Saccharomyces cerevisiae S288C: one gene and its partners. Changing the gene in region 1 together with any one later gene gives a genetic interaction. Each region holds a gene or a part of one and is shown in the gene's direction. Other genes may lie near its edges.

Region 1 (7,271 bases):
ACGTAAGTCACAAGGCTTAGAGCCATACTATATGTTTATGGCAAGAGCTCGTTTACCAGGTGGTAAGACCACTCCACAACAATGGCTTGCTCTGGATCACTTATCTGATACTTCAGGCAATGGTACCCTGAAATTAACAACAAGGGCAACCTTCCAGATTCATGGTGTGCTAAAGAAGAACTTGAAACACACATTGAGAGGAATGAATGCAGTTCTTATGGATACATTAGCTGCTGCAGGTGACGTGAACAGAAATGTCATGGTTTCTGCTCTACCAACCAATGCCAAGGTTCACCAACAAATCGCTGATATGGGAAAATTGATTTCTGATCATTTCTTACCAAAGACTACGGCCTACCACGAAGTTTGGCTGGAGGGCCCAGAAGAACAGGACGATGATCCATCCTGGCCATCTATTTTTGAAAACAGAAAAGATGGTCCAAGAAAAAAGAAGACTCTAGTTAGCGGTAACGCTTTGGTCGATATTGAACCAATTTACGGTCCAACTTATCTGCCAAGAAAGTTTAAATTCAACATCGCCGTTCCTCCATATAACGATGTGGATGTATTATCTATCGATGTCGGTTTAGTTGCTATAGTTAACCCAGAAACTCAAATCGTGGAGGGTTATAATGTTTTTGTTGGTGGTGGTATGGGTACCACTCATAACAACAAGAAAACTTACCCAAGATTAGGGTCATGCTTAGGTTTTGTTAAAACTGAAGACATTATTCCACCACTTGAAGGTATCGTTATTGTCCAAAGAGATCACGGTGACCGTAAAGACCGTAAGCATGCTCGTTTAAAGTATACTGTAGATGATATGGGTGTCGAAGGCTTCAAGCAAAAAGTGGAGGAATACTGGGGTAAGAAATTCGAGCCTGAGAGACCATTTGAGTTTAAATCTAATATTGATTACTTTGGATGGATTAAAGATGAAACTGGGTTAAACCACTTTACCGCATTTATTGAAAATGGTAGGGTTGAAGATACACCAGATTTGCCTCAAAAGACAGGTATTAGAAAGGTTGCTGAATACATGCTTAAGACTAATTCTGGTCATTTCAGATTGACTGGTAATCAACATTTGGTTATCTCTAATATTACAGATGAACATGTTGCTGGAATAAAATCTATTTTAAAGACCTATAAATTGGATAACACCGATTTCAGCGGTTTGAGATTATCTTCATCTTCCTGTGTTGGTTTGCCAACATGTGGTTTAGCGTTTGCCGAATCTGAACGTTTCCTACCTGACATTATTACTCAGTTGGAAGATTGTTTAGAAGAGTATGGTTTACGCCATGATTCCATTATTATGAGAATGACTGGTTGCCCTAACGGTTGTTCTCGTCCATGGCTAGGTGAATTAGCTCTTGTTGGTAAAGCTCCACATACTTATAACTTGATGCTTGGTGGTGGTTACCTCGGCCAAAGGCTAAACAAATTGTATAAGGCCAATGTGAAGGATGAGGAAATTGTCGACTACATCAAACCATTGTTTAAAAGGTATGCTTTAGAAAGAGAAGAAGGGGAACACTTTGGTGATTTCTGTATAAGAGTAGGTATCATTAAACCAACCACCGAGGGTAAATACTTCCATGAAGATGTGTCTGAAGATGCCTATTAATGATAGCATATGACATAGTAGGACATACTATTGGGTTTTCTTCCCACATTTATTTATTTTTTTCGCAATTGAATATAACTTTTTATTTTATAGAAACATATTTATTTGTATAATCTTGTATATTAACAGTTAAGACTCATTATTGTTATCCTTCGGCTAGTTCGGTTTTTCAATAGCAGATGAGAAACGAAAACTATGAAGAATGAAAACGAGGTGAAGAATAAAATCATATAACAAAATATTGAAAAGAATGACGGCCGTAACTGATATCATCGATGAATTGAATGATTCGAGTCTTTCTTCTACAAGGCTTCGAGAGTTGTGTCTCCAGTTACGAAAGAAGACAGATACTGGATGTGCAATTACGGTGTCCGATGAGGTCAACCTTATTGAATCTCTCTCATATCACTCCATATCTCCAGGAGTAGACATACAAATCAACACAGATGTTTTGCAGACTATAGATTACTACTTTCAGCGTAACAAAAGTGAACATGACGAAATTATGTGCGTCCTTATTTCTAAGTTACAGCCACTACTTTTAAAACGCAAAAGCAACTTCGAACTCAAAGAGCAACGTAATCTTGGTCTCAAACCCACGCTTGGAATGTCTTTGAAAGAAGATAACCTAATGCAGGCGTGGGTAAGTCAGGGTGGCTTGAAAGGCATTCCGTTATTCTACGTAATTCTGTTACATTTGAAAAGGAGAGACATATCTACGAATCTTTCTTGGATTATTCCAGGAATTCTAAACATACTAGATGATACCACTGATATAAGAAGAATTAAACTTCGTGGTGTTCTGCTCCTACAGACGCTATTAAATCATACCTTTATGAACGAAACCAATGACTCAAAATGGATACAGTTCTCTAGTACTGGTTTATTTCCACTGTTCGAAAAGACGCTAATCAATATGTGCTATTTTCTCCCTCCCTCATACAATGCTGATGAAACAATAGCCATATGGCGGGTCGTTTTCCCAACGATACAGTCGTTATATAAAGTAGAATTTTTGGACAATTACACAAAGTATCAATATCACCTGGAAAAGTTCATGTCAGAGATAATCTTGCAAAACATAATTCCTAGGGCTAGCCTTGCATACGAAAATTTGACGTTATACGCATTGGAATGCACAATGAACATACTGAGACTTCAAAGAGAAGGGTCTGTTGTACATCTCCAGAGGCTGATTTTTGTTTTAGGTGAATATATTGTACGAAATCCTTTTTACACAACTTTTCCAAAACTTATTTCAAAAACTCTTTCAGTGGTAAGTACTCTCATAAAGGTTTGCCCGAATGAAAGAATAGTGGCTCACAGATTCGACATTTTATCATTAATTCTAGTTACATACGATAAGTGTTCGCAAGAGGATGCGTTGAACGAATCAATACTACAACAATGTAAGGAAACGATAAGCTGGTTGCTGAATTGTGACTGCGCTATGGGTGAACAGTTATCGACTCTATCTAAGCAACCGCGGTTTCAGTTACTTTTTGAGTTCTCATAGGAAACAGACACAGACACAGACAAATGCATATACATATATATATATATATAACTAGACAGTATATAAACAAAAAGAGTTATTTGCCCTTTATGCTGAAGAATCCCTTTTAAAGAAACCTTGGACATATATTAAAATATTCATTTGCTTATTTACAGATATATTAAGGTAAAGAGAATAATGACTCGGAGAGATAAATCGGTTTCATATTAACGGGTGTTTTGCAACCCGTTCACAATCCTGATATTAGTATCCAAAAACCGATTCACACAGTTAGACAAACATTGCTCTTCTTGCGAACTTAAATTAGAATCATTGACAGACTCAACACATTTTTTGAAGCATATATTAGTGAATTGATGGATTGACATCTGGACTTTTTGTTTGGAGTTCTCTCCCTCCAAGAAAGTAGCAATTTCCTTTTTGGAAGTGTCATCAAGGGAGGCCAAATCAGACGTTGATAGAGAAGACATTCTTTGTTGTTTGTAAATTTGTTTTCCTTTTTACCTCTTCTTCAATACTTTCATATAAATGAATGTTTCCATCAATTTTTACGTTAGTTAATAACTAACCGTTCGCTTTGATATGCAGCGTAACAACAAACAAGACGCATATGACGACAAAGAGGGACAAGAGCAAACGGCAGAAAGTCTCACAAAGGAAACATGGATGTTGAAAAGGATGTCCTGGATGTCTACATAAAGAACCTGGAGAACCAGATCGGAAACAAACGATATTTCTTGAAGCAAGCTCAAGGTGCCATCGATGAGATCACGAAGAGATCTCTGGATACAGAGGGTAAACCGGTCAATTCTGAGGTCTTTACAGAGTTATTAAGAAAACCCATGTTCTTCTCAGAGAGAGCTGATCCTATTGGTTTCAGTTTGACATCGAATTTTTTGTCTTTGAGAGCCCAAAGTTCCAGTGAATGGCTCTCGCTTATGAATGATCAATCAGTTGATCAAAAGGCCATGTTATTGTTACAGAATAATATTAATAGTGACTTGAAAGAGCTGCTACGAAAACTGCAGCATCAAATGACCATTATGGACAGTAAGAAGCAAGATCACGCCCATATTAGAACACGAAAAGCCAGAAATAAAGAGCTTTGGGACTCACTGGCGGACTTTCTCAAGGGTTATCTAGTACCGAATTTGGATGATAATGATGAATCAATAGATAGCTTAACGAACGAAGTCATGCTGTTAATGAAAAGACTAATTGAGCATGATTTGAATCTGACATTAAACGATTTTTCATCTAAAACGATACCAATATACAGATTATTACTTAGGGCTAATATAATAACAGTAATTGAGGGCTCTACAAATCCAGGGACTAAATACATCAAACTAATAGATTTCAATGAGACCAGTCTAACTTAAGTAATACTTCGTAGTCAAAGTGTGCTTCGTAGTGGTGTGAGGATGTTATAAAGCGCCAAAATTTAGAAGATCATAATTTGGCAGTAACCGTAGATTATTCACCAAAAAGCTCTTGACTTCCTCTTTTAATAGACTGTCGTTAAAAGGTCCTTAGTCCAGAATAGTATATAAAAAGTGTTGTATGGTAGTGGTATACCAATTTTGCTATGAGTAAAAAATTATCGTTGGAAGAGAGACTCTCCTTGGCAACTAAGAAAGGAAGAAAGAAAAATAAAAGGTCAACGTCAAATTTGTCGTCTCCATCGCCTGTGGTGCTGTCAAACAATGAACAAGAAAGTGCTCGTACATCCATTGATGATGCGGCTGCCGGTGTGGTGTCAATTGACAATGCTGAAAACATAGATGATCCTGCGGTACGATCAGAAAGCACTGTGGAAGGCGATACAGGTAAGGCAGATTCAATCGCTGTCGATGACGTGGTGCATCCCGATCACAATAGGACTGATTGCTTCGACGACACTATGGTATCACTGCCTACATGGCTACCTAAAAATTACACTGAATTTACTGTTGAAGAATTAGTCAAAGAAATTAGTCCTGAATATTTAAGATTAAACAAACAGATTGATGACCTAACTAACGAACTAAACAGAAAATCACAAATCGAAACCACGGATTCTAGTTTTTTCAAATTGATTAAAGAGAAGGACGACTTGATAGATCAGTTGAGAAAAGAAGGAGCTAAATTAGCGGAAACTGAGCTGAGGCAATCAAATCAAATCAAAGCTTTAAGAACAAAAGTGAAAGACTTAGAGTATGAGGTATCTGAACTAAACGATAGTTCTGCTCAGAGTGTCGAAAACTATAATGAGCTGCAATCATTGTATCACAACATACAAGGACAACTGGCTGAAGCTACAAATAAATTAAAGGATGCAGATAAACAAAAAGAGTCACTTGAAACATTAGAGAAAAATATAAAAGAAAAAGATGATTTGATAACAATTTTACAGCAATCTTTAGATAATATGAGAACATTGCTTGAAAAAGAAAAAAGTGAATTTCAAACGGAAAAGAAAGCACTACAAGAAGCAACAGTTGATCAAGTTACCACTCTAGAGACTAAACTAGAACAACTAAGAATAGAATTAGATAGCTCTACTCAAAATTTAGACGCTAAATCAAATAGAGATTTTGTCGATGACCAACAAAGTTATGAAGAAAAACAACACGCATCTTTCCAATACAATCGGCTCAAAGAACAGCTTGAGTCATCAAAGGCCAACTGGGATAGTATTGAATACGCTTTGAACACTAAAATTGTGAACTTGGAAAACCGCTTTGAATCTACAATGAAAGAAAAAAATGATATTGAAGAAAAATATCAAACTGCCTTACGTTCATCTGAAACATTAGGTAAGCAATTAGAAAAAGAAAAAGAGAATCATTCGAAGGCAGTTTTGGAAGTGAAAGACTTGGAGAGACGGGCGGAGACATTGAAGTCATCATTGCAAAGTATAAGTGATGATTATAATCTACTGAAGAAGAAGTACGAAATTCAAAGGTCTCAGTTGGAACAAAAAGAGAACGAACTAAAACCACATCAAGAAAACAGCAATGAGAAAATTATAGATAAAATACCTGTAGAATTAACAGATAGTTTAAACTCCATGGAGGGAAATATAGAAGACGAATGGACTTTACCTCAAGAAAATTCTATGCTGTCATTATCAATGTCAAAACTTGGCGAATTAGAAAGCGATCCGTCTCTAAAACCCATTTACAATGAATCTCACGAAACCATATGTAGCGAAGAAAGCCAACATTTTGATAGAAAAAATGTGGATTTCAGCATTGACGATATTCCAGAAGAGGCCGCTGCTTTACAAGCAATCAGGGAAGGGGAATCAATGAACTCGTTAAACAACACATCAATACCATACAGAAGAGCTAGCGTCCAGCTATCGAATTCTAACGGCCACATAAGCGCTCATCTGGTGAACAAGTTAAGTACGGAGTTAAAAAGATTGGAAGGTGAATTATCAGCATCAAAGGAATTATACGATAATTTACTGAAAGAAAAGACAAAAGCAAATGATGAGATTTTAAGACTTCTGGAAGAAAACGATAAATTCAATGAGGTAAATAAACAGAAAGATGATCTCTTAAAAAGAGTTGAGCAGATGCAAAGTAAATTGGAAACCTCCTTACAACTATTAGGTGAAAAGACTGAACAAGTGGAGGAATTAGAAAATGATGTGTCCGATTTAAAAGAGATGATGCATCAACAAGTTCAACAAATGGTAGAAATGCAAGGAAAAATGAGATAACTAGAAATACACTCTTATCTTTAGATTTAGGTTAAATATGAAATAATTACCAATGATAACTATATGTATCTATATACATGCAACCCCATCGCAACATACTGTTTGTCATCAGTCATGACCTTGAGCCTTAGCGAGCATGGTATGTTCTTCGATATCTTCAGCGTCCCATGGATAGCACAACCACTTATCAGGGACAGTTTGCGCAGCAATGTAACGTCCAGAATTCATCATGGAGTCAGGTAGTCCAGCTCTCTTTGGTTTGTCCTTATTATGTAGAACAAAGATAGAAATAACGGTTTCCTCACTCATTCTATTCAAAACCTTTTGTTGTTCAGCAATCTCTTTTTCCAGCTCAGAAACAGCATAGTGGAGGGTAGTTCTAGTATCGTCAACTTCATCCACAATTAGGACCT
Region 2 (8,388 bases), on another chromosome or scaffold:
ATGGTAGATCACGTCGTCCAAAGCATCCAAACCTTCTTGTAATGTAAAGGTGTGTTCATGATGAATAGAGCCGATGAATTTGGCAACCTTTCTTGCGGCTTGCAAATCTGGAGCATTTGGTAAACCGATGGCAAAGGAATGGAGACTTGTCCAACCAGCAGTGTGTAGCTTACCGTCATCGTCGATACCTGCTAGATGTCTTGCCTTACTATCGTAAGTTGATGGTTCGACATCGTTAGTGGCCTTTGCAGTTTCACGGGCAGCAATGGAAGCGATTAAAGAGGAGTCCAAACCACCCGACAATAGAACACCGTATGGGACTTCGGCCATTAATCTCTTTCTAACGGCTTTTTCTAAGGAGTGTCTAATTGCCATGTAATCTATTGGGGTGGAAGGAATGCGTTTTTCGTCCAGCCAATCTGGTGTGAAGTAACGGGTGATCTTGTCAGTCTTAGAATCGTATACGTGGCCCGGTGGGAATGCAGTGATAGTGTCACAGTCGTCAGTCAAACATTTTAGTTCGGATGCAAAATAAACGGTCTTTGGAGAAGCGGAAGAGCGTCCCATATATAATGTCGTAATACCGATTGGGTCTCTGGCTGCCACAATACGATCTTGTTTAGCGTCGTAAAGAGTCCAAGCAAACATACCATCCAAGTACTTAGGAGCGTCGATATCGTGCTTTAAGTACATTGGGATGATAGGCTCACAGTCACTCAGTGTTCCAAACTCGTAGTCTGCGCATTCTTCTCTTAATTGAATGTGGTTGTAGATTTCACCGTTAACACATAGCATGTACTCTCCGTCTGAAGAAGTAATTGGTTGAGCACCGGATTCCACACCGACAATGGCTAGTCTTTCATGAACAAATATAGTGGAGTTCTTGATAGCATTACCGGACCAATCTGGACCACGGTGTCTGATTCTTTTTGATAGTTGTAGAGCCTTTGGCTTATATCTATGCACGTCTTCGTGCCTGAAAGCGGCGAAAATACCACACATCTTAAGTTACGTCCGATTTATATCCTTAGCGTAAAGCAAGTTATACTTTTTCTTATTTTATTATGTAAAGGTAAGAAGAGTATGCGATCAGGGTCCAAACAGAATCTGTCTCCTAGTGGCGTTCACTATAGGGTTATATATGCGTATCTATAAATGCGCATAAATTCAAGAACGAACTATTTGTCATCTCGAGTGGGCAGCAAATTTTCAGTTTACAGAATGAGTCAAATGTTACATGAGTTAAGGCTCTTTTCCTTGTGCTCTCTCTCTCTGTCTGAGCCTGCCAAATGATAACAGTCATAGGCCCTGTACCTAATTTGCCGTCCACGGCAGCAGTACTGCTGCCGTGTGATTGGTGGATAGATAGTGCCAGCGATAAGAAACGGTAGTTGATGCCCGAAGGTGCTTTCCAGCGCAGAAAGACAGACCCCAGGCGTATTTGCGCTCACGTTGCACGAACACGGGCGGCATTCGTGATGACAATAGATTTAATTTAGATATGCACTGGTTTCCACAGAGACCAATCGACAGTCTTCCATGCAAGGTCACTTATTGTTAACGGCAAGTTTCCCTGGATGTCCGCTTTAAAACTGTTTCGGCACGGTTTAAAGGACACAAGTTTTGACTAGTCTACAATTTAAGAACATATAAAAAGCTACTTGTGTACAGATGAGATGACTACTCCCAAGTCAAAAACAACAAAAGAATGAAAGAAAAAAGAATCAGAATTTTATAAAAGCGTCCTTGTCATTCTTAAGAATGTAACAAGATCAATGGGTTGCGCAGGAACCGCTATCTCCATTAAAACCTCAGATCGCTCCGAGAAGAATTGTTCGATTTGAAACGCAAATAATATCATCGTATTCTTTTAAAAACTTGGAAGGTCATTGGTTTCTTTAAATGAAACCTCCAAAGAAAATCTAACGCGTCTTGGTAAAATATATGTACCGAGTGTTTCGCTTTTTATACCTGTTAAATGAAAATCGAAAAAAAAGAAAAAGAAAAAAGTTTTTCAGCACTTCTCTACGGGTAATCCTCGTATTTGAAGGTTTAGGGCTATTCTTGAAATTTTTCACTAAAATTTTCCAACTGAGAAAAAAAAAAGTGTATTACGGTTTTGATGAGATGAGATGAGATGTAATTATCATCCTCTATTGCCATGAAGAGAGATCTATTAAAAAGAAACGTCAAAGAATATGGTATTGCTTATATCAGAAATTAAAGATATTGCCAAGAGGCTGACTGCTGCGGGTGACAGAAAGCAGTACAACTCCATTATCAAGTTAATCAATGAACTAGTGATTCCAGAAAATGTTACTCAATTGGAAGAAGATGAGACAGAAAAAAATTTGAGATTTCTGGTTATGTCGCTATTCCAGATATTTAGAAAGCTGTTTTCCCGCGGCGACTTGACCCTTCCTTCGTCCAAAAAGAGCACATTAGAGAAGGAACAGTTTGTTAATTGGTGTAGAAAGGTGTATGAAGCGTTCAAGACGAAGCTGTTAGCTATCATTTCGGACATACCTTTCGAAACATCACTTGGGTTAGATTCGCTTGATGTCTATCTTCAACTTGCAGAGCTGGAATCAACTCATTTTGCATCTGAAAAGGGCGCACCATTTTTCCCCAATAAAACATTCAGAAAGTTAATCATCGCCCTATGGTCCTCGAACATGGGTGAAATAGAGGATGTCAAAAGCTCGGGTGCGTCTGAAAATTTAATCATAGTAGAATTCACGGAAAAATATTATACGAAATTTGCAGATATTCAATACTACTTTCAATCAGAATTTAACCAACTATTAGAGGATCCAGCCTACCAGGACTTGCTTTTGAAAAACGTTGGTAAATGGTTAGCTTTAGTAAATCATGACAAACATTGCTCTAGTGTTGATGCAGATTTAGAGATCTTTGTACCAAATCCCCCACAAGCCATAGAGAACGAGTCCAAATTCAAGTCCAATTTCGAGAAAAATTGGTTATCCCTTTTAAACGGCCAATTGTCTTTACAGCAGTATAAGTCTATTCTGTTAATTTTGCATAAGAGAATAATACCTCATTTCCACACTCCAACTAAACTAATGGATTTCCTTACTGATTCCTACAATTTGCAAAGCTCTAATAAAAACGCCGGTGTTGTTCCGATCTTGGCTCTGAATGGCCTTTTTGAATTGATGAAAAGATTCAACTTGGAATATCCAAATTTTTATATGAAACTTTATCAAATTATAAATCCAGACTTAATGCATGTTAAATACAGAGCAAGATTTTTCAGGTTAATGGACGTATTTTTGTCATCAACACATTTATCCGCCCATTTAGTAGCATCTTTCATCAAAAAGCTAGCCAGACTCACCCTAGAATCACCACCCTCTGCTATTGTCACCGTGATTCCCTTCATCTATAATTTAATCAGGAAACATCCGAATTGTATGATTATGCTGCACAACCCAGCCTTCATTTCCAACCCATTCCAGACACCTGACCAAGTGGCGAACTTGAAAACTCTGAAAGAAAACTATGTAGATCCCTTCGATGTTCATGAATCGGACCCTGAGTTAACTCATGCACTGGATTCCTCTCTGTGGGAGCTGGCGTCATTGATGGAACATTATCATCCTAATGTAGCCACGTTGGCGAAGATATTTGCTCAACCATTTAAGAAGCTAAGTTATAACATGGAAGATTTCTTAGACTGGAACTATGATTCTTTGCTCAATGCAGAATCTTCAAGAAAGTTGAAGACACTTCCTACGTTAGAATTTGAGGCTTTCACAAACGTTTTTGATAATGAAGACGGCGATAGCGAAGCGTCATCCCAAGGTAACGTCTACTTGCCTGGGGTAGCATGGTGAAAGCGAAGATGAACAACGAAGTTTTAAAAGTGTGTATATATACATTTATATCAACAGAGTCATCGATTTCCCTTGTTTGAGATGTAAAAAAAAAAAAAAATAGAAAATAGTAAGTCCCTGTTATCAATTTTGCCTAGGAAAAAAACCTGGGTCAAAAATAAATGGTCTCTAGCGGGATCGAACCGCTGATCCCCGCGTTATTAGCACGGTGCCTTAACCAACTGGGCCAAGAGACCATTCTATTGTTGAAGATTGTTTAATTTAGATAAACTTTCATAATGTTGAGAATTGCTTATTGCGATATATAAAGTTGAACCAAAGATCAATTTCTTTTTATGTATTGTAGAGAATTACAATTTGAAAAAGAGCTAAGGGAAATTGCTATATTCTAAAAGAAGTGCACAAGTACATTACCTTGAATTTTTATATTTATTCATGATATATTAATATTAATATATCGATGGTGAAGGACACCACACCTGTATTTCTTTGATTGAAAACAATTTTGTAACATTGGCTGCAAAAGTTTTTGCAATTGATATGAAACTATATGATAATATAGAATGCAAACAAAATTCAATTGCAAGGAGGAGGGAAGATATAGGGCCCCTTTCTCGCTTGACATAGACTAAATAATATACAGTTTTTATTTCTTTATTTTTTTTCTTCTTTTGACATGAACATGTTGATTATTCATTGTCGCTTCCTGCGGCAGCTTTAACTAAATCCAAAAATTTTTCTTTGGAAACTTCAGTGATCAATTCTTTCTTTTCTTCTTTATTCTTAATTTCGCTTAAATTTTCGGATACTTCCTTTTCTGTCTTGACTTGAGTTGCTAAAATGGCGTTAAATAATTTCACGGCACCTTTTTGAGCTATCTTTCTGAGCGCTGTCTCCTTCTCAAGGACTTTTCTAATATTTTCTGACCTGTCTTCTCCGGAAGCAATTGGAATAATATCCGTCTTTCTGGCTTTACCTAATAACTTTTTTTTTTCTGCCAACAATGCTTTTTTGGCCTTGTATTCTAGCTTTTCTGACTCACTTTGCTTCAGCACCTTTTTGTTTCTAGCCATGATGGGGTCCTTCCTGTCGTATGCTTTCAGATGTGATGATAAAATAGCATTTACTGCAGCAGAAAATCCAGTAGAACCATCATCATGTTTGCTGTTTTTCGATTTTTTCTTTCTTGGGAAGTCGTCGTCCTCTTCTTCTTCATCATCATCTTCTTCAGCATCACTTTGTTCGTTATCTATAATTTTAGATGATTCATCGCTAGAGCTATTCTGCTCGTCTTCTTCGGCTTCATCACCTTCCATTATTGTATCTTTTTCCGGCTCATTACTTAACTCTTGGTTGCCACTATTCCTTTTTTCACGCCCAAATTCTGCATTCTTTCTGGTTCTTTTCTTATCCTTAGTGTCTACTCTGTGCTTGGAGCCCATGATCAATTATGTACTGATTTTCCTTCGGCTTCTCTATCGCTTTATTCATAGCATCTGTTTATTACCTTTCCTTATATCTTATGGGCATCGAATCCTAGATTTTTTTCTTTCAAAATTTTCCAATAAGAGGGTAATGGAGATACACCAAAATGAATCTCAAACAAAATCAAAACAAACACTGTTTACAATTTGATGCGCCTCGAATCAAAATATGATGATGAGTATTACAGCTAAAAAAATTATCGAATATTATATAAGCATTAAAGCTATCAATTTTTCCGCTCTTTGTGTTTCTTATTATTCTATTTGAATATACCAGAACAACTATCCGGAGTCTTTGTTTAAAAAAGGTAGATTTTGAAATAAAGGACTTAGAGAAATTCTGGCAACTATTAAACTATGGAATCACTTCCACGTACTCCCACAAAAGGCAGATCTACGCAGCATCTCTCGACACCATCGCCGAAGAATGATATTTTAGCTATGAATGGCCACAAAAGAAGAAATACAACAACTCCACCGCCTAAGCACACTCTTCTGAAGCCGCAACGTACGGATATTCATAGACACTCATTAGCTAGTCAGAGTCGCATATCCATGTCACCTAATCGCGAGCTTTTAAAGAATTATAAAGGTACAGCAAATTTGATTTATGGAAACCAGAAAAGCAACTCCGGTGTAACTTCCTTTTATAAAGAAAATGTTAATGAACTCAATAGAACACAAGCAATCTTATTTGAGAAAAAGGCAACACTAGATTTACTCAAAGATGAACTAACAGAAACGAAAGAGAAAATCAATGCCGTTAATCTCAAATTTGAAACCCTTCGTGAAGAAAAGATAAAAATTGAACAGCAACTGAATTTGAAAAACAATGAACTTATCTCGATTAAAGAAGAATTTTTGTCAAAGAAGCAGTTCATGAATGAAGGACATGAAATACATTTAAAGCAGCTAGCGGCATCTAATAAAAAAGAGCTGAAACAAATGGAAAATGAATACAAAACAAAAATTGAGAAATTGAAATTTATGAAGATTAAACAGTTTGAAAATGAAAGAGCGTCGCTTTTAGATAAAATAGAAGAGGTAAGAAATAAAATCACCATGAACCCTTCCACTTTACAGGAAATGTTGAACGATGTTGAACAAAAGCATATGCTTGAAAAAGAAGAATGGCTTACAGAGTACCAATCGCAGTGGAAAAAGGATATAGAGCTGAATAATAAACATATGCAAGAAATCGAAAGCATAAAAAAGGAAATCGAAAATACATTAAAACCTGAGTTGGCAGAAAAAAAGAAGCTCTTAACAGAAAAGCGTAACGCGTATGAAGCTATCAAAGTAAAAGTTAAAGAAAAGGAAGAGGAAACTACAAGGCTGAGAGATGAGGTGGCATTAAAACAGAAAACTAATTTAGAAACTTTGGAAAAGATCAAAGAACTTGAGGAATATATAAAAGACACTGAACTGGGTATGAAGGAGTTGAATGAAATTCTGATTAAAGAGGAAACGGTTAGACGCACATTGCATAATGAGTTACAAGAGTTAAGAGGAAATATACGAGTTTATTGTAGGATTCGTCCAGCTCTAAAAAATTTGGAAAATTCTGATACTAGCCTTATTAATGTTAATGAATTTGATGACAATAGTGGTGTTCAATCTATGGAAGTGACGAAAATACAAAACACAGCGCAAGTGCATGAATTCAAATTTGATAAAATATTTGATCAACAGGATACAAATGTGGATGTTTTTAAAGAAGTTGGTCAGTTAGTGCAAAGTTCATTAGATGGATATAATGTTTGTATCTTCGCATACGGACAAACAGGATCTGGGAAAACTTTCACGATGTTAAATCCAGGTGATGGTATCATTCCGTCCACAATATCTCATATATTTAACTGGATCAATAAATTAAAGACAAAAGGATGGGATTATAAAGTTAACTGCGAATTCATTGAGATCTACAACGAGAACATCGTAGACTTATTGAGAAGTGATAATAATAATAAAGAAGACACAAGCATTGGCTTAAAGCACGAAATACGTCATGATCAGGAAACTAAGACTACCACGATAACGAATGTTACGAGTTGCAAGCTTGAGTCGGAAGAAATGGTGGAAATAATCCTGAAAAAAGCAAATAAATTAAGATCCACCGCTAGCACAGCATCAAATGAGCATTCCTCCCGTTCACACAGTATTTTCATAATTCATTTGTCTGGATCAAATGCAAAAACTGGAGCACACTCGTATGGCACACTAAATCTTGTTGATTTGGCCGGTTCCGAAAGAATAAATGTCTCTCAAGTTGTAGGGGATAGATTAAGAGAAACACAAAATATAAATAAATCTTTAAGTTGCTTAGGTGACGTTATTCATGCTTTAGGTCAGCCTGATAGTACCAAAAGACATATACCGTTCAGGAACTCAAAACTGACATACCTACTGCAATATTCACTCACTGGGGATTCGAAAACATTAATGTTTGTAAACATTTCACCAAGCTCCTCTCATATTAATGAGACTCTCAATTCGTTAAGATTTGCGTCTAAAGTGAATTCTACCAGATTGGTTAGTAGAAAATGAGGTCAAGGCCTTTTCTGGTCTTTTTCACTCCTTTGACAAATGACAGAGACTGTCCATACATTCATCACATGTAACTATATTATATATGAAACTCATTTTAATGCGCACAGATAAAAAGCAAAGTAAGTAATGAATATTTGTTATGTAAAAATGACCTCATACATGCTAGTATTTACACGAATTTAATTGCTTAAATTTCAATCATCCTTACCCTTTGGTTTACCCTCTGGAGGCAGAAACTTTTGCATCCTCCTTATTGCCCAATTTTCGCCAATGACTTTAACATCTGGGTCCGATTTACCTTCCGTGGTGTTGAACCGCTTCCACCATGAGGGGGATTTGAACCTAGGGTCTTCGCGTGGTAATTTGCGAACTTCATTTCTAATTTCAGCAACATGGGCTCTCAGTTCAGCGGCTAATCTGCTTCTTAAATCTTGCGCCTCTTTACCATATTTCAATTCGTCAGAGAGGTCGTTAGGATTTTTGGGATCATAGTATTT
Region 3 (8,040 bases), on another chromosome or scaffold:
AATTTAGTGTTTCTACATTTTTTCTATTTTGTTTCATTTTTATATCCCTTTCATATGATTAACAAAACTTGGTAAATTATCTGGCCTGTCAACCCTTACCTGTCCTGTCCCTTCTTTAGACAAAAGAAAATAAAAAAATTGGACACAGGAAAACAACAGCCTCCATACCACAGTTTCTGTGTCTTATTCTATTTAGGAAGGTCATTCTATATTACTCAAAGGAAAGACATCCAGTAGAAACAATAGTGTTGCTAAACGGTTAACTTGCCCACTAATGTCTGCTTATATTTGCAAATCACTATTGTGGCAAGTCATACCCTGGAGCTTTGTGATTGAACAACATATACTATATTGCAGCAGTATTTTTCAGAAATAATATTCGAAAGAAGTGAGAACAAGAAATGACCACGATAGATTACAGCTGACCAACTTAGAAAATGAGTAAACTTATTTTTGTCTTAAGAAGTGCATGCAGCGACCTCTCCCAATTACCAAATTGTAATTTTTTATTATTCTTTTTTTCTGCATAGTTCATTCGACAGCTTGGTTGAAAAGAGTGATAAAAATTTTCTGTTTTATGAAAAGTTTTCATAACTCTATTAAGGGTTGCACTATAAGAACATTTCGCAATAAAGCAACCCTTATCCGGACCCTACATGTTCCGTAAGTCCTGCCTTATTTATCGTAACGGTATTCATCTTACAGGAATTTTTGAATATAGATAACGTTAGTTTTGATAGATTGGAACAAATGGGAAAATAACAATTTAGAAGCGCTTTCCTCAGCGTATCTGAATTATAAAACAACTGCGCATATTGCTAAGAACTGCACTGAAGGCATGAATTGTCTATTCCGTTAGAAATATAATTATTTACGAAAGCATCGCGCAGACGCAATTTTTTTAACATTTTTTTTTTTTCAAGTACTCTGGAAAAGTTTTCATGAAGATCATGAATACGTTACACTACTATTATTATTGAAAATAATATTTCTTTCCTATCAGCAATCGCTTACATATTCATAGTCATTTACTAGGGTATATACCAATAATAATGTCCCGTCCACAAGTTACTGTTCACTCTTTGACTGGTGAAGCTACTGCCAATGCCTTGCCATTGCCAGCTGTCTTCTCCGCTCCTATCCGTCCTGACATTGTCCACACTGTTTTCACCTCTGTGAACAAGAACAAGAGACAAGCTTACGCTGTTTCTGAAAAGGCTGGTCACCAAACCTCCGCTGAATCCTGGGGTACCGGTCGTGCCGTCGCTCGTATTCCAAGAGTTGGTGGTGGTGGTACCGGTAGATCCGGTCAAGGTGCCTTCGGTAACATGTGTCGTGGTGGTCGTATGTTTGCTCCAACTAAGACCTGGAGAAAGTGGAACGTTAAGGTTAACCACAACGAAAAGCGTTACGCCACTGCTTCTGCTATTGCTGCTACTGCTGTTGCTTCTTTGGTCTTGGCCAGAGGTCACAGAGTCGAAAAGATTCCAGAAATCCCATTGGTTGTCTCCACTGACTTGGAATCTATTCAAAAGACCAAGGAAGCTGTTGCTGCTTTGAAGGCTGTTGGTGCTCACTCCGACTTGTTGAAGGTCTTGAAGTCCAAGAAATTGAGAGCCGGTAAGGGTAAGTACAGAAACAGAAGATGGACTCAAAGAAGAGGTCCATTAGTTGTCTACGCTGAAGACAACGGTATCGTCAAGGCCTTGAGAAACGTTCCAGGTGTTGAAACTGCCAACGTTGCTTCTTTGAACTTGTTGCAATTGGCTCCAGGTGCTCACTTGGGTAGATTCGTTATCTGGACCGAAGCTGCTTTCACCAAGTTGGACCAAGTCTGGGGTTCCGAAACCGTTGCCTCCTCCAAGGTCGGTTACACTTTGCCATCCCACATCATCTCCACTTCTGATGTCACCAGAATTATCAACTCTTCTGAAATCCAATCTGCTATCAGACCAGCTGGCCAAGCTACTCAAAAGCGTACTCACGTTTTGAAGAAGAACCCATTGAAGAACAAGCAAGTTTTGTTGAGATTGAACCCTTACGCCAAGGTCTTTGCTGCTGAAAAGCTAGGTTCCAAGAAGGCTGAAAAGACTGGTACCAAGCCAGCTGCTGTTTTCGCCGAAACCTTGAAGCATGACTAGAATTTATAGTATAGATCTTTAACTTTAATTTAAATATCTTTGTTACTAGTCTTTAATCAAACCTTTTTGTTTTCTTTAAAGTCGAAACGTCAGATTTGCTCAAAACCTTCTTGTCGTTACAACGCGAAAATTGTAATTTAAAATAACTAACGAAGAAAGCTGAAAAATAGATGTGAGGGAAAATCGTTTATAAACGGCCATGCTCACAGAGAATCATGTATGGAGATTTAGGTAATAAATTAGTATTAGAAGCTAAAAGAACAAAACAGCTGTACGCAAGAAGTAATCAAGATGTTAATTTACCCATGTATCATGAAGATATAATACGAAATATTCTGAAAGAAGTTTCAAATTTACGTAAAAATACGGAATATCTTAAAGAACAGCAGCAACTAGGAATGCTAGATGATAAGGTGGCTAAATGCCAGTATTTCGTTACCTTGTTATGTATGGAAAGGAACAAGAGATGTCTCTTAGCATACCAAAGGTTGAGAACAGACATACTAGATTCTATGGCTTGGAATAATAATGGTCTGGACTTGATGAGTAGCATTACGTTTAGCCAACAAGACACAAATAACCTTTCTCATCAAGAGCAGGAATATTTGAAAGAATACTGCGATTTAATTACTGATTTAAAAAGTGGTGACTTGGTCGATATTGATTTATCCGGCTCTTTAGTGCCTCCGAGCGATGTATTTATTGATGTTAGAGTGCTCAAAGATGCTGGTGAGATTCAAACTGAATACGGCGTGTTTAACCTTATTAAAGACTCCCAGTTTTTCGTAAGGCAGTCTGATGTAGAGCGTTTGATTCAACAAGGTTATTTGCAGAAGATATGATAAAATGCTTTCAAGCTGGTCTTCATGATATATAATCCTTTATAAAGCAAGATACATACCTCCATTCTAATTTACTCCCTTCTATGTTTACTTCAGCCCTTTTTAATAGATTTCGTAAGTTTTGGTTGAGGAGGCTTTCTGAGCTTTACGCGACTTTATTGATGACGAAGCTTCACTTTATTATAATAATGAAAAACTGCGCAGAGAAACTATCGCAAAACGAAACCATCTTCTTACCCTAAAGCATCCTGTTTCTGAAAAAATGAGAGCATATGGAAAGAGGGGCCCAGTTCTCAGAACTCCTTTTAGATCTAATAAAGGCTTGCCATCTTCTTCCGATGTTGAATTTAGTGATGACGATGTAAACTCCGTGATTCCTGATGTAAGTTCTACCATTTCGAGCAGTATTGCAGACCACCCGATAGAGGGATTATTGGACGAGCCTAGAAAGGCTCAGGACAGCTCGTCGTCATTTGATGGTGCAAATGAGAAGCCCTCTTCACAACTGGACTCAAAAAGGAATGACCAAAACGTCAAAATTATCACTAGCAGTGATACCTCAATGGCATTTATGAAAGATGAAAAGTTAAGTGCCTTTAATTTCCTTGATGGTTCAAAGGCATCTAAGAGAAAAAGAAGAAGAACTTACCAAAAGCATGATGCGAACATAACGTCTTCAATTGAACCAGACGTACAAGATGAAGACAGCATTACAATGCACAATGAATTTGAATCAATAAGGAAAATATACAATGACATCAATGAATTCATATTGAAGCTACCGAGAGCTGACGATGATATACTGAATAAAATGCTTGAAAATGAGATGAAGATGGACGACTCTATAGAGAATAATAGCATACGCACATCCAAAGACAAAAAATATGGCAAATTTAGAACAATATTAATAAACAAAAATAAAGAAAATGAAATAATGGGAGAAGAGGTAGATCAGAAAGCTAACACCTTGTCCCTAAATAACGCTGACAACAGTAATGCTGAAAAAGAAGGATTAACTTCAACAAATCACTACAACGAATTAAAAAATATGGGAGATACAATAAAATACCAGGATGATATTGAGTTTCTTCTGTCCAATTCTAAAAGTAATGACAATACTACGGTACCAATCAATGAATACTTTAAAAAACTTTTAAATTTATCCCTAATGATTATTAATGACGAAGAATTTTTTCAATATGCGAAAAGATATTTCAAAAAGGAAATAATTAAGCTTAGTTTTGCGCAATTTAGATCGGATTTTCCTGAATTAATCTTATTACAGGGTTATTTACTACATAAAGTTAGTGAATCACAATCCGATTTCCCGCCAAGCTTTGACAATTTCTCTATCGAATTAAGTAAAGATGATGGTAAAATACGGACAAAAAAGAATAAGCATATTAAAAAACTCTCACACCTAAATTTCGAAGACTTTCTTCGGAAGACTCAATTCAAAACGGGACTTTATTATTCATTATCACTCTGGGAAATGCATGGTAATTTATCGTTAGATATAATCAAGAGAATCTCCATCCTTGCTTCAAATAAGGACTTATTCAGTCGGCACGTTAAGACTTTTATTCCTCTTTTAGAAAAATTAATAACCGCTTCCGAATTTTGCCACATGTATATTGAACAACCTGAAATGTTCGATTCACTGATAAGCAACTTGAATAATCAGTTTAAGGATATGCTTGATGATGACTCGTTGATTAAAATCCTAATCTTGTTAACAAACATGGAAGTACATAACTATACGCTATGGAAAGAGGCAGATATGATATTTCAAAGTTCAATGAACACAATTTTGGAAAGCATACATCCATTGACAGACGCGAAAGTTGATAACATACTCTTGCATTTAGGGCTCTGCCTCAATATTTGCAGTAGAGAAAATAGTCGTTTAAAACTTGACGGCAAATTATGGTATGATATGAAAACTATATTTGTTAAAATGATCCGTGACGGTTCTGACACTGAAAATAGGTTAGTACAGGGCCTGTTTTACTTAAATTTTTCATTTTTAATTAAACAACGGAAAGAAAATAGTAATTTAGACCCAGGGGAGCTCAATTTGTTACTAGTAGAGCTGGAAGCATTTAAATCGGAAACATCTCAATTTAATGAAGGTATTTCAAATAAAATCGAAATAGCGTTAAATTACCTAAAATCAATATACACGAGTGAAAGAATTACAATATAAAGAAAGCATACATTGAACATAGCCTGGCTTCATCTTCACCCTGCTGGCAACTATTGAAAAATTGTCCAGAATTTATTATGTTATCCTTAAATTAATGAATGCCATGCACTTGCTTAAATTTTGACATCGCTTTCAGTGCATTGAAGCTACCAGGATCTTTGATGAGCCTTCTAGCGTATTTTTTTGTATGCCTTATGGCGCTTTTAATATGTTCATCTACAATTTCTTTAAAATGTCAATGGTAGCTTACTTTTTAAGAGTTATACTCCTGACAATTTTTTTTCACGACATAAGTTTGGTGGAAAATAAATGCAGTATTATTTAATTATTTAATTAATTTCCTTGACTGCACAATTCATCAGGAGCGTTATACAAATAAAAGAAATCATACTGTTTCATATTAAACACGAATAAGAAATTCAGGTTGAATTACTTGGTGTGATTATTTATCATACGCATAATATCAAAATAACTAATCATAAAAAAATATGAGCAGGATCTCCGCACCTTTTAAAAAAGGTTGAAAGGGCTTAAAAAACTGAAAGACTAAAACCTTTTTTTCGAGGCATAGGAAGCCTAGAGTACTTCGGGTAGACGATATAACAATGCAATAAAAATAGTATATTAATAAACATACGAAAAAAGGTTAATATATTCATTAATAATGTACTGATGGTAATTAATATACCGCAGAGTCTTGAAACTCGGCGGGTAAAAATTCTATATCCCATAAGGTCCATCAGGTGACTTTTTGTGATACTGTGTTATTGTTACTTTAAATTGGTTAATTATTCAATCAATTTCCAGTGATACAGTAGAAAACAAAGTCAAAGAATCGCAGTACCCGCTGGTCACGCCAAAAAAATAAAGCTTAATGTTCTTTTAGTCAACATATTCACTCAAAGATTGCATGATCACCATCAGAATGTGTGAGTAGGTTAGGCTGAACGGCAGTAGGAGCAATTACGTATGTTAGTAAATGGAAGGAGACCAGCATTATGGTTTATCTTATTTGGTCTTCCGTACACAAATAGTAGTGAATGTATGGTAAACATGCATGCGATGACTTAACTAAGGATTTACTGGTGTTGGATCAAATTTAATCTCTGCATGTATAGGCTATTCAATAATCATGAGGCGTTAAAGGATAGTTTACTTATCATTTTTCCTTCTTGAAGCATTTTCCCAGAGCTGATAGATATATTGAAGTAGTACTTATATACCTTTCAACTGATGCATGTGAATGCCTGCTTGGAACATCGGGAATAAGAATTATAGTAACAATACCAATTTCTCCAGCGGATTTGTCTATTTTCTTGGTACTTCATGCAAGGTGCATCCTTTTTCTCTTGAAATTCATTCTGAATGGCCATAACTGCCAATGTTCACCATTCCTAAAGACGACGTGTTTATCACTCCTAGTTGCTTGGAAGTTAGACAACATGAGGAATAATAACCTCAAGAGATTAAAAAATGCAAGTAACTATATTACATATTTATTATGCACACTTTGCCTTGCCACTTGTGTAATAGACCTGGGTTCTTGCCGAGGTGATATGCTCTTTAATAAAAGATCACCTCAATTCAAGACTAAAAATGGCGAGGTATAAATCTGCGTCGCTAACATGTACAATATTTTAATGTATACTCTCGCATATTTATATTTTCGTTTTTCACGGCTTTAATTAGCGTACGTGGTTTCTGATTTTTGCTTGAGTAATGCACTATTTATTAAGATAGCCGCCCAGGTTAAATTCTTGAATTACAACTACATGTCAGAGACGAACGAAAGAGAGAAATCAAGACGATGCAACAAAGATCAAATAGGAGAAGCTGCTCCTATATACCACTCGGGGTACATAATAATGCCGAAAAGAGCTTGTGCACCGAAGTTGCTCCAGCAAGAAAGAACAAAAGGTCTATTACGACTTCTCCCATAGTCAACATCAACGTTGTAGAAAGAAGACTGTTTAATTTGGAATTGGAAAAACAACAACTTCGTGCCAAAAATCTGTCTGAGAACACAGGTGGCGGAAGCCCCAATGGGGGTGCTTATCTGGACGCCAAAAAAGGAGTAAGAGAACAAGATCAATACCAAGGAGGTCCCTCGAAAGAGCTTGACAGGCTACAACCACCACCTTCAATGAAGAAAAGCCCTCCAAGGAAGAAGAAGAGCCTAAAGGACTTGATATATGAAACGAACAAGACATTCTATCAGGTGGATTCTAACAAGGTTAAATATAAGGTAGGTCTATCCAAGAAACAGCTATTACCATCCAAAACGGTAGACAACTAAGTTCAAAGAGGAGAACGTTTGAAAAAGAGTTCGGTGGCCCTCCACTTTTTTCAACGTGCAAAAGTTGTCCACAACTTACTTATCATTAGGCTAAAATTACAATTTATATCTTACGTATCCTTTATCTAATTTGCGACTGTAAACATAAATTTAGGATAATATTAGGAGAGACAGAGGGAACCGCAACTTTACTTCGTTTTCGATTGAGATAAAGTAGGTTGCTCGTCGATGGGCGCTTCGTCTGATAAACTTTCCAACCCATCATAAAGTGTTTTCCACAAATCAGAAACTGACTGGAATTCTCTTCCCACAGCTATCGAGCTCTCCAATGATATATTGAGACCATTCAGACCATTCAAGATTGAATTCATAGTCTCATTGATCTCCTGCAATACTATATTCCTCTGCTCGATGAAGTATTTGTCAGTGGTTGATATCAACTTTTCTTCATCATTGGATGTACTAGCCATCATATGTACATATATCCTCACACGTCCGAGCTCTTCATCAGTCCTATTCCTACGCTAATTACTACCTCCTCTTGTTAAAGGTGAC
Region 4 (7,137 bases), 290 kb from region 1:
ATAACAGAGAGAGTTGAAAGGCTCGAGAACCTAATACTGAAATGGCCAAAAAAAATAGATTGAACACAACTCAAAGAAAGACTTTACGTCAAAAGGAAGATGAGTACATCGAAAACTTGAAAACCAAAATTGATGAGTATGACCCTAAGATAACCAAGGCCAAGTTTTTCAAAGATCTCCCCATTAGCGATCCCACATTAAAAGGTTTAAGAGAATCATCCTTTATAAAACTTACTGAGATCCAAGCCGATTCTATTCCCGTGTCCCTGCAAGGTCATGATGTATTGGCGGCCGCAAAGACAGGTTCCGGTAAGACATTAGCATTTTTAGTTCCAGTAATTGAAAAGCTATACCGCGAAAAATGGACCGAATTCGATGGGTTAGGTGCCCTTATCATATCTCCAACAAGAGAGTTGGCTATGCAAATATATGAGGTTTTGACGAAAATAGGTAGTCACACTTCATTTTCAGCTGGGTTAGTTATCGGTGGTAAAGATGTTAAATTCGAACTAGAAAGGATATCAAGGATTAACATTCTTATCGGTACACCTGGTCGTATTTTACAACATTTAGATCAAGCCGTAGGTCTAAATACTTCCAATTTGCAGATGCTTGTTCTTGACGAAGCTGATAGATGTTTAGACATGGGGTTTAAAAAAACTCTGGATGCCATCGTAAGCACATTGTCACCATCTAGACAAACACTTTTATTTTCAGCGACTCAATCACAATCTGTTGCAGACTTGGCTAGGCTTTCCTTGACAGATTATAAAACCGTTGGTACACATGATGTGATGGATGGGTCGGTTAACAAAGAAGCATCTACTCCAGAAACTTTGCAACAATTCTACATTGAAGTTCCTTTGGCAGATAAATTGGATATCCTTTTCAGTTTTATAAAATCACATTTAAAATGCAAAATGATCGTTTTCTTATCAAGTTCCAAACAAGTGCATTTTGTCTATGAGACATTTAGGAAGATGCAGCCTGGTATTTCTTTAATGCATTTACACGGTAGACAGAAACAACGTGCTAGGACAGAAACTTTGGACAAATTCAATCGTGCTCAACAGGTGTGTCTTTTTGCTACCGATGTCGTTGCTAGAGGTATTGACTTTCCTGCAGTCGATTGGGTTGTTCAAGTGGATTGTCCAGAGGACGTTGATACATATATCCACAGAGTCGGTAGATGTGCTCGTTACGGTAAAAAGGGTAAATCTTTAATCATGTTGACTCCACAAGAGCAGGAAGCGTTCCTAAAAAGACTTAACGCTAGAAAGATCGAACCAGGCAAACTTAATATAAAACAGTCAAAAAAGAAATCCATTAAACCACAATTGCAGTCATTATTATTCAAGGATCCAGAACTAAAATATCTAGGACAAAAGGCTTTTATATCGTACGTGAGATCTATATATGTGCAAAAGGACAAACAAGTTTTCAAATTCGATGAGTTACCAACAGAAGAATTCGCTTATTCTCTTGGTTTACCAGGGGCCCCAAAAATCAAAATGAAGGGTATGAAGACCATTGAGCAGGCCAAAGAAAGAAAGAATGCTCCAAGACAGCTAGCTTTCTTATCAAAAGCAAATGAAGATGGTGAAGTAATTGAAGATAAGTCGAAACAACCAAGAACAAAATATGATAAAATGTTTGAACGTAAAAATCAAACCATCTTAAGTGAACACTATTTGAATATAACGAAGGCTCAAGCACAAGAAGACGAGGATGACGATTTCATTTCTGTCAAGCGTAAAGATCATGAAATAAATGAAGCTGAGTTACCAGCTCTAACTCTTCCAACTTCAAGGCGAGCACAGAAGAAAGCGCTTTCAAAGAAGGCATCTCTGGCCTCCAAGGGTAACGCTAGCAAATTAATATTTGATGATGAAGGCGAAGCCCATCCAGTTTATGAACTTGAAGATGAAGAAGAATTTCATAAGAGAGGTGATGCGGAGGTACAAAAGACAGAATTTTTAACTAAAGAATCTGCAGTAATGGCAGACATTGACAATATTGATAAGCAGGTGGCTAAAGAAAAAAAACAAGAGAAGAAGAGAAAAAGACTAGAAGCCATGAGAAGGGAAATGGAGGCTGCTATGGAAGAAGAAATTTCTGGAGATGAAGAAGAAGGGAAGACAGTAGCATATTTAGGAACAGGAAACTTGAGCGATGATATGAGCGACGGTGATATGCCTGACTCGGAAGGCCACTTGAAAAAGAAAGCTAGAACTGTTGACTATTCCCACGGCCACAATCCATCCAATTCAGTTGATGATGACATTATTGAAGTGGAAGAACCACAAACTTTGGAGGATTTGGAATCTTTGACAGCTAAATTAATCCAGGGTTAAACCCTCCTGCATAGTCTAACCTATAGTATTTAGAACTTGTATACATCTATTCTCTACACTAATATACTTATTTCTTTGTTCAAATCATCGGTAATATTACAATAAAAGAAAAATATGCATATACTTTCGTGCATTGAAGGTGTCAAATGAAATCCCGCTTATAGTGAACAGGCTTCCATCATATATACATATATATATATGTTTATATATGTATATCATCACTTATGCTGCTCCAGGAGATGTAGGTATCTATTCTTTCTTAACGGATCCGCATCTATTAATTGGACCAAATATTGTTCCGAGCTTCTTTCCGTTAGAGCTTCCTTTTCTTCCAGAATATCTTCGAGAACTAATAAAATTTTCAAGCACCAAATATTTTGCTTCCCGGAAAATTCAATTTCGTCATTATTTATTAACAGAATGTTTTCTCTCAAGTCTTTCAACATTTTAAGGTACTCTTGTTCGTCCAGAGTTTTACAAACAATGTCGTTTTTAATGAACCACTTGATATAAAACCATACGGATTGGTCTTCGGCGTCGGTAAACATAGCGTTGATGATATAAGATATTTCAGTCCGAATATACTCCTTTTGATTCCCAACCTCTCCTTTCTGAAACATTCTGCTTATGATCTGTACTCTTTGGTGCCATGCAGAATAATTTGAAATGTTATTGTTAATCTTTATTGTTGTGTATTCAAACTCCTCCTTGTCAAGACTTTTATTAGTGATACTCTCTATGTTACCAACAACTATTCTGCGGTAATGCCATCCGTGGTAATTTCTTGCATCTTGTTCCAATAACTTATTCACGACAGCAAGTTCAGTTTGCCACACTTTAGGGGAACTCGTAGGATAATGTTTCAAGACCCAAAGTCTGTGATTCCATATCCAATAGACTTTGGGGTAATCCTTCAATAGCATCATTACAAAAACTAACTCTTTATCCCAGAAAGGTATTTCCAACTCAGAAGCCAAACTCGCTATAATATCCCTTCTGTAATTCCAAATAGCATTAAATTCCGGATTTTTCTCAAGAAGTTCTGATGTTTTCTTCAGAGCTTCAATTGAGTAAATTTTTTCATCTCTCATATTCAAAACATTTTCAGTCAAGCTTCTATAATCATATATTTTCTTTTCGTCTTGAACTCTCTTTTGTCTCAGTAATTCCTTGGTCCACTGTTTCCTTTTAATGCCATGCTGTTTAATGTGGCAAATATAAAAAATTGCTTGGTAGTCAGTAAAAAAAAGAATTCATAATGTAACGAACATTTGAAGTGCACATACCATTGCTGACCTACTGCTTTATAGTATAAATTCAGTATACTAGGTATATGTGGCTCAAAAATGTGGTTTTTTTCTTTTTTGCCTTTAATTTTTTTCAAATGTTTACGTATGGTTTATGATTTAACATTTCAAGAATAGAAATCGCCCCGAAGAATGATTGATGTTAAATACTCGTACAAGAGTATTGAAAACCACTTCAAAGGGGCCCAATAGCACATTTAATGTCACAATCAATATCACTAAAGGGTTCAACAAGGACAGTTACAGAATTTTTCGAGTACAGCATTAATTCCATTTTGTACCAAAGAGGCGTATACCCAGCAGAAGATTTCGTAACGGTGAAAAAGTACGATCTTACGTTACTAAAGACACATGATGATGAACTGAAAGATTACATTCGGAAAATTCTTCTACAAGTTCACAGGTGGCTTCTTGGTGGAAAATGCAATCAATTAGTATTATGTATTGTAGACAAGGATGAGGGAGAGGTGGTGGAAAGATGGTCCTTCAATGTGCAACACATTTCTGGCAATAGCAACGGGCAGGATGATGTTGTAGATTTAAATACAACACAATCACAAATCAGAGCTTTAATCAGGCAAATCACCTCAAGCGTTACCTTTCTGCCCGAACTAACAAAAGAAGGTGGGTACACATTCACAGTACTTGCATATACAGACGCGGATGCTAAAGTTCCGTTAGAATGGGCCGACTCCAATAGTAAAGAGATACCTGATGGTGAAGTAGTTCAATTCAAAACATTCTCTACCAACGATCATAAAGTTGGTGCGCAGGTCAGCTATAAATATTAATAGAATTCAAGTCAAAAAAAAAAAAAAAGACGGAAGTCCAAAAAAATCTCGTTTTCGATGTTTAGAAAGAATATAGATTTATGAACTATATTATACTATACTACGTACTTCCTCTGTAAACCACTTCATGCGTTTTTTCAAGTGCCTCTGTTAAAGAACCTTGAGTGAGAAACGAAGTCTTTGACACTCAAACTTTGCTTTTTTTGTTCTTCTTTTTGTTGTTGTATTTGAGGGGTGGATACTATCCTCTTCATAACAGGTGGTGATATTTTCAGATCTTGCCTCACAAATTTTGACCAATTCGGATCTTGCATCCTTGCCAAGTTGTTTTCAAATTGACCCAAAAGTACCTTGTCCCACTTGAATATGAAAAGATCGCGATTACTGTCTGGCCTGCTGCCCTCGTCAGTGTCGTCTGTTTCTAAGTTGTAGGCACTCCATAGCTTTTTCCATAATGCCAGGTCCCATGGAATGCCCTTTAAAGCGAGGACAAAAGACCATACCGCTGAATCAGGGTTATTATTGGTCAATTTGGAGTAGGTCTCGTAATAGTCATCAGCGGAATCCAGAGGAGCCATTAGAAGTTTAATAAACTTCAGCAGCTGGTCTATATTATTGTCTGCATGTCTTTTCACCCTCTTATAAGAGGTATTTTCTCGCAAGTCAGAATCGTTACTTACACTTTCTGGTAAAGTGTGAAAAATCTCCTTCAGCAATTCTAAATCAAGGAGAAGCTGCTCGCCAATGTTGACAACAGTTCTGGTTTCAAATTTCCTTTTGCTGCCCGCCAGGGAAAAGGGTGGAACGGGCTGCAGAAGGCGGATGGTATTGCTTACAAAATTTGTAGTGATGATATCAATCACCTTATCCAAGAAATTCCACTTATAAACATCTCTATTGAATTGCGACAAAATAAATGCCAAAGTCGAAGGTTGCTCTTGCTGTTGTTTAATAGAGGCATCTGTTAATGCGGGCATTTTAAGTACGGATTTGAGGGTTACCATGTACCTGCTATAATCTTCTATCGCAGCATTTGACCAATCATTGTTGATAAACTCTCTCCATACAAAATTTAGATCTAAGGGTATGACACGGTTTAATAGAAAAGAAGTTCCTTTTGCTAGTAAATCGTCGTATATATTTTTCGTTTTCGTAAAACTGTTTGCCAGCTTTTCACGATTACCGCTGAATTCAGATAATTTATCCTCCAATTGATCTATAGTCGTGGCACAATAATCTGCAGTATTGATCAATAAAACGGTATACTTGGCAGCTTCTAGCTTATCCTGGACTTCAATATTGTCGGGCAGCAGTAAAGGAAGAAGAATTTTTTGTGAGTAAGTTTGAAGCCATCTACTGAAAAAATTTGCCAATGAAGTCAATATGCTATCATTGGCATTATTATCAATGAGCTCTAAGGTCTGAGTCAGTACGGAACGATATGTCCTGAAAAGGTCTGCACTCGAGGGTAACACGAGAGATTCTGTTTCATTAGATGGGTACTTCGGCTCACTCATATAAGAAAGAAATTTCTTTTCCATCATTTGGTTTTGGTGAGACACCCATAAAGTCAAATAAGGTTCGAAGCAGGAACTTAGTTTTGGTTCCTTAATTTTTTTTGAAAATCGTACGTCGATGTATTTTTCGAAATCTAGCGTCGATTGTAATGCTGTCATGAATAGATCAATGGAAGGGTTCTTGTCTTTGAATTCCCTTTTCAGAAGTGTCTGAAGGTCCTTGTGTGTAATGTGATAAAAAGTGGTGGTCAATCTGACTGCCATTTCCCAGTCTTTTAAGAAATAGTCTGCGAACTTTGAATTGAAGTTATTAAGAATTTTTTTGAAGTAAATGTATCTTCTCGATAAATTTTCTAGGGATCCGGCTTCATCGTCGACCCTAAATATCTCTTTCATTTCGAAGAGAAGTTTGTCCAAACACCAATCTATCATCTGGGCTCTCGTACTTGTATCGCAGTCGAGTAGCTCGCAGGCACCTTCGCGCAATTCCATAGTGAGTGCTGTATCATGCTCTGAGATATTGCCGCCGGAAAAGAGCGCATTGTAGTTTTGTTTAATTTTGGACAAAGTGTCTCCTTTCAGTCTTGAAATGGAGCTCAACAAATAGTTTATCTCGTCCAATGATTTGTAAGAGATGAATGTGTTTTCAGCAAGCGAACACATTATCTTATAAGGGGACACCATTTTTTTGAATGAGCCCTGTGAGAGTAATTCATTGCATTGTATGTAACTGTCTGTCAATATCTTTAAATTTTGGAAAAGAGTCAAAGAGTGGGTGAGGTTTTTCTTGGCAATGTCCAGGTACGAGATACCTTCTGTCAGATTCGATATCGTCAACTCGGTGGAGGCTGAGACATCTTGAGTTTCTTTGAAATCTTGGAAAACTTTCCTCAGAGAAGCCTCTATTTCAGCGGAATTTTTAGGGTGTTCCTTCAATTCATTCTCTTCTTTGAGAATATCCTCTTGCAATTGCTTTTTGTAGCTTCTGGTAATACTGATCAGTTCATCTATGTTGTTCAGGGATTCTTTTGAAAAAAGTATATTGGTAATATCTTCCAGCGGGTCATAATCTACCGTACCTTCCAGCATTGTCCTTCTGAGAAAACAAAAATGGAAGATGTTGTGAAAATGCAGTAAGTGACAATAAGCTAGCGACTTTTCAATGATC

Evidence for each region.
Region 2: mutations in MCM22 (region 1) and KAR3 together harm fitness more than expected from each alone (negative genetic interaction), as found in Saccharomyces cerevisiae (5 studies listed by BioGRID, with this or other methods).
Region 3: mutations in MCM22 (region 1) and RAD61 together harm fitness more than expected from each alone (negative genetic interaction), as found in Saccharomyces cerevisiae (5 studies listed by BioGRID, with this or other methods).
Region 4: mutations in MCM22 (region 1) and MAD2 impair growth when combined (synthetic growth defect), as found in Saccharomyces cerevisiae (6 studies listed by BioGRID, with this or other methods).

The regions. Positions count from the first base shown.
Region 1 is NC_001142.9:673,316-680,586, reverse strand, and holds MCM22 (Mcm22p), read left to right. Parts: upstream 1-3,808; coding exon 3,809-4,528; downstream 4,529-7,271. Other genes in the region: MET5 (sulfite reductase (NADPH) subunit beta), read left to right, coding at 1-1,630; TTI2 (Tti2p), read left to right, coding at 1,881-3,146; protein transporter TIM8, read right to left, coding at 3,353-3,616; SGM1 (Sgm1p), read left to right, coding at 4,735-6,858; XPT1 (xanthine phosphoribosyltransferase), read right to left, coding at 6,967-7,271. UniProt on the Saccharomyces cerevisiae protein: Component of the kinetochore, a multiprotein complex that assembles on centromeric DNA and attaches chromosomes to spindle microtubules, mediating chromosome segregation and sister chromatid segregation during meiosis and mitosis.
Region 2 is NC_001148.4:815,234-823,621, reverse strand, and holds KAR3 (Kar3p), read left to right. Parts: upstream 1-5,698; coding exon 5,699-7,888; downstream 7,889-8,388. Other genes in the region: ASN1 (asparagine synthase (glutamine-hydrolyzing) 1), read right to left, coding at 1-1,002; ribosome biosynthesis protein NOC4, read left to right, coding at 2,199-3,857; rRNA-processing protein RRP15, read right to left, coding at 4,547-5,299; TAZ1 (lysophosphatidylcholine acyltransferase), read right to left, coding at 8,086-8,388. UniProt on the Saccharomyces cerevisiae protein: Minus end-directed microtubule (MT) motor involved in spindle midzone assembly, poleward transport of newly captured kinetochores along the lateral side of MTs, karyogamy (nuclear fusion) during mating, and with an essential function in meiosis I.
Region 3 is NC_001136.10:470,801-478,840, forward strand, and holds RAD61 (Rad61p), read left to right. Parts: upstream 1-3,245; coding exon 3,246-5,189; downstream 5,190-8,040. Other genes in the region: 60S ribosomal protein uL4 RPL4B, read left to right, coding at 1,053-2,141; DNA replication protein PSF1, read left to right, coding at 2,357-2,983; HED1 (Hed1p), read left to right, coding at 6,997-7,485; DAD1 (Dad1p), read right to left, coding at 7,674-7,958. UniProt on the Saccharomyces cerevisiae protein: Involved in resistance to ionizing radiation.
Region 4 is NC_001142.9:383,796-390,932, forward strand, and holds MAD2 (spindle checkpoint protein MAD2), read left to right. Parts: upstream 1-3,861; coding exon 3,862-4,452; downstream 4,453-7,137. Other genes in the region: RNA-dependent ATPase HCA4, read left to right, coding at 42-2,354; Rab geranylgeranyltransferase BET4, read right to left, coding at 2,573-3,553, 3,641-3,643; VPS53 (Vps53p), read right to left, coding at 4,590-7,058. UniProt on the Saccharomyces cerevisiae protein: Central component of the spindle assembly checkpoint which is a feedback control that prevents cells with incompletely assembled spindles from leaving mitosis. Thought to be recruited to unattached kinetochores by MAD1.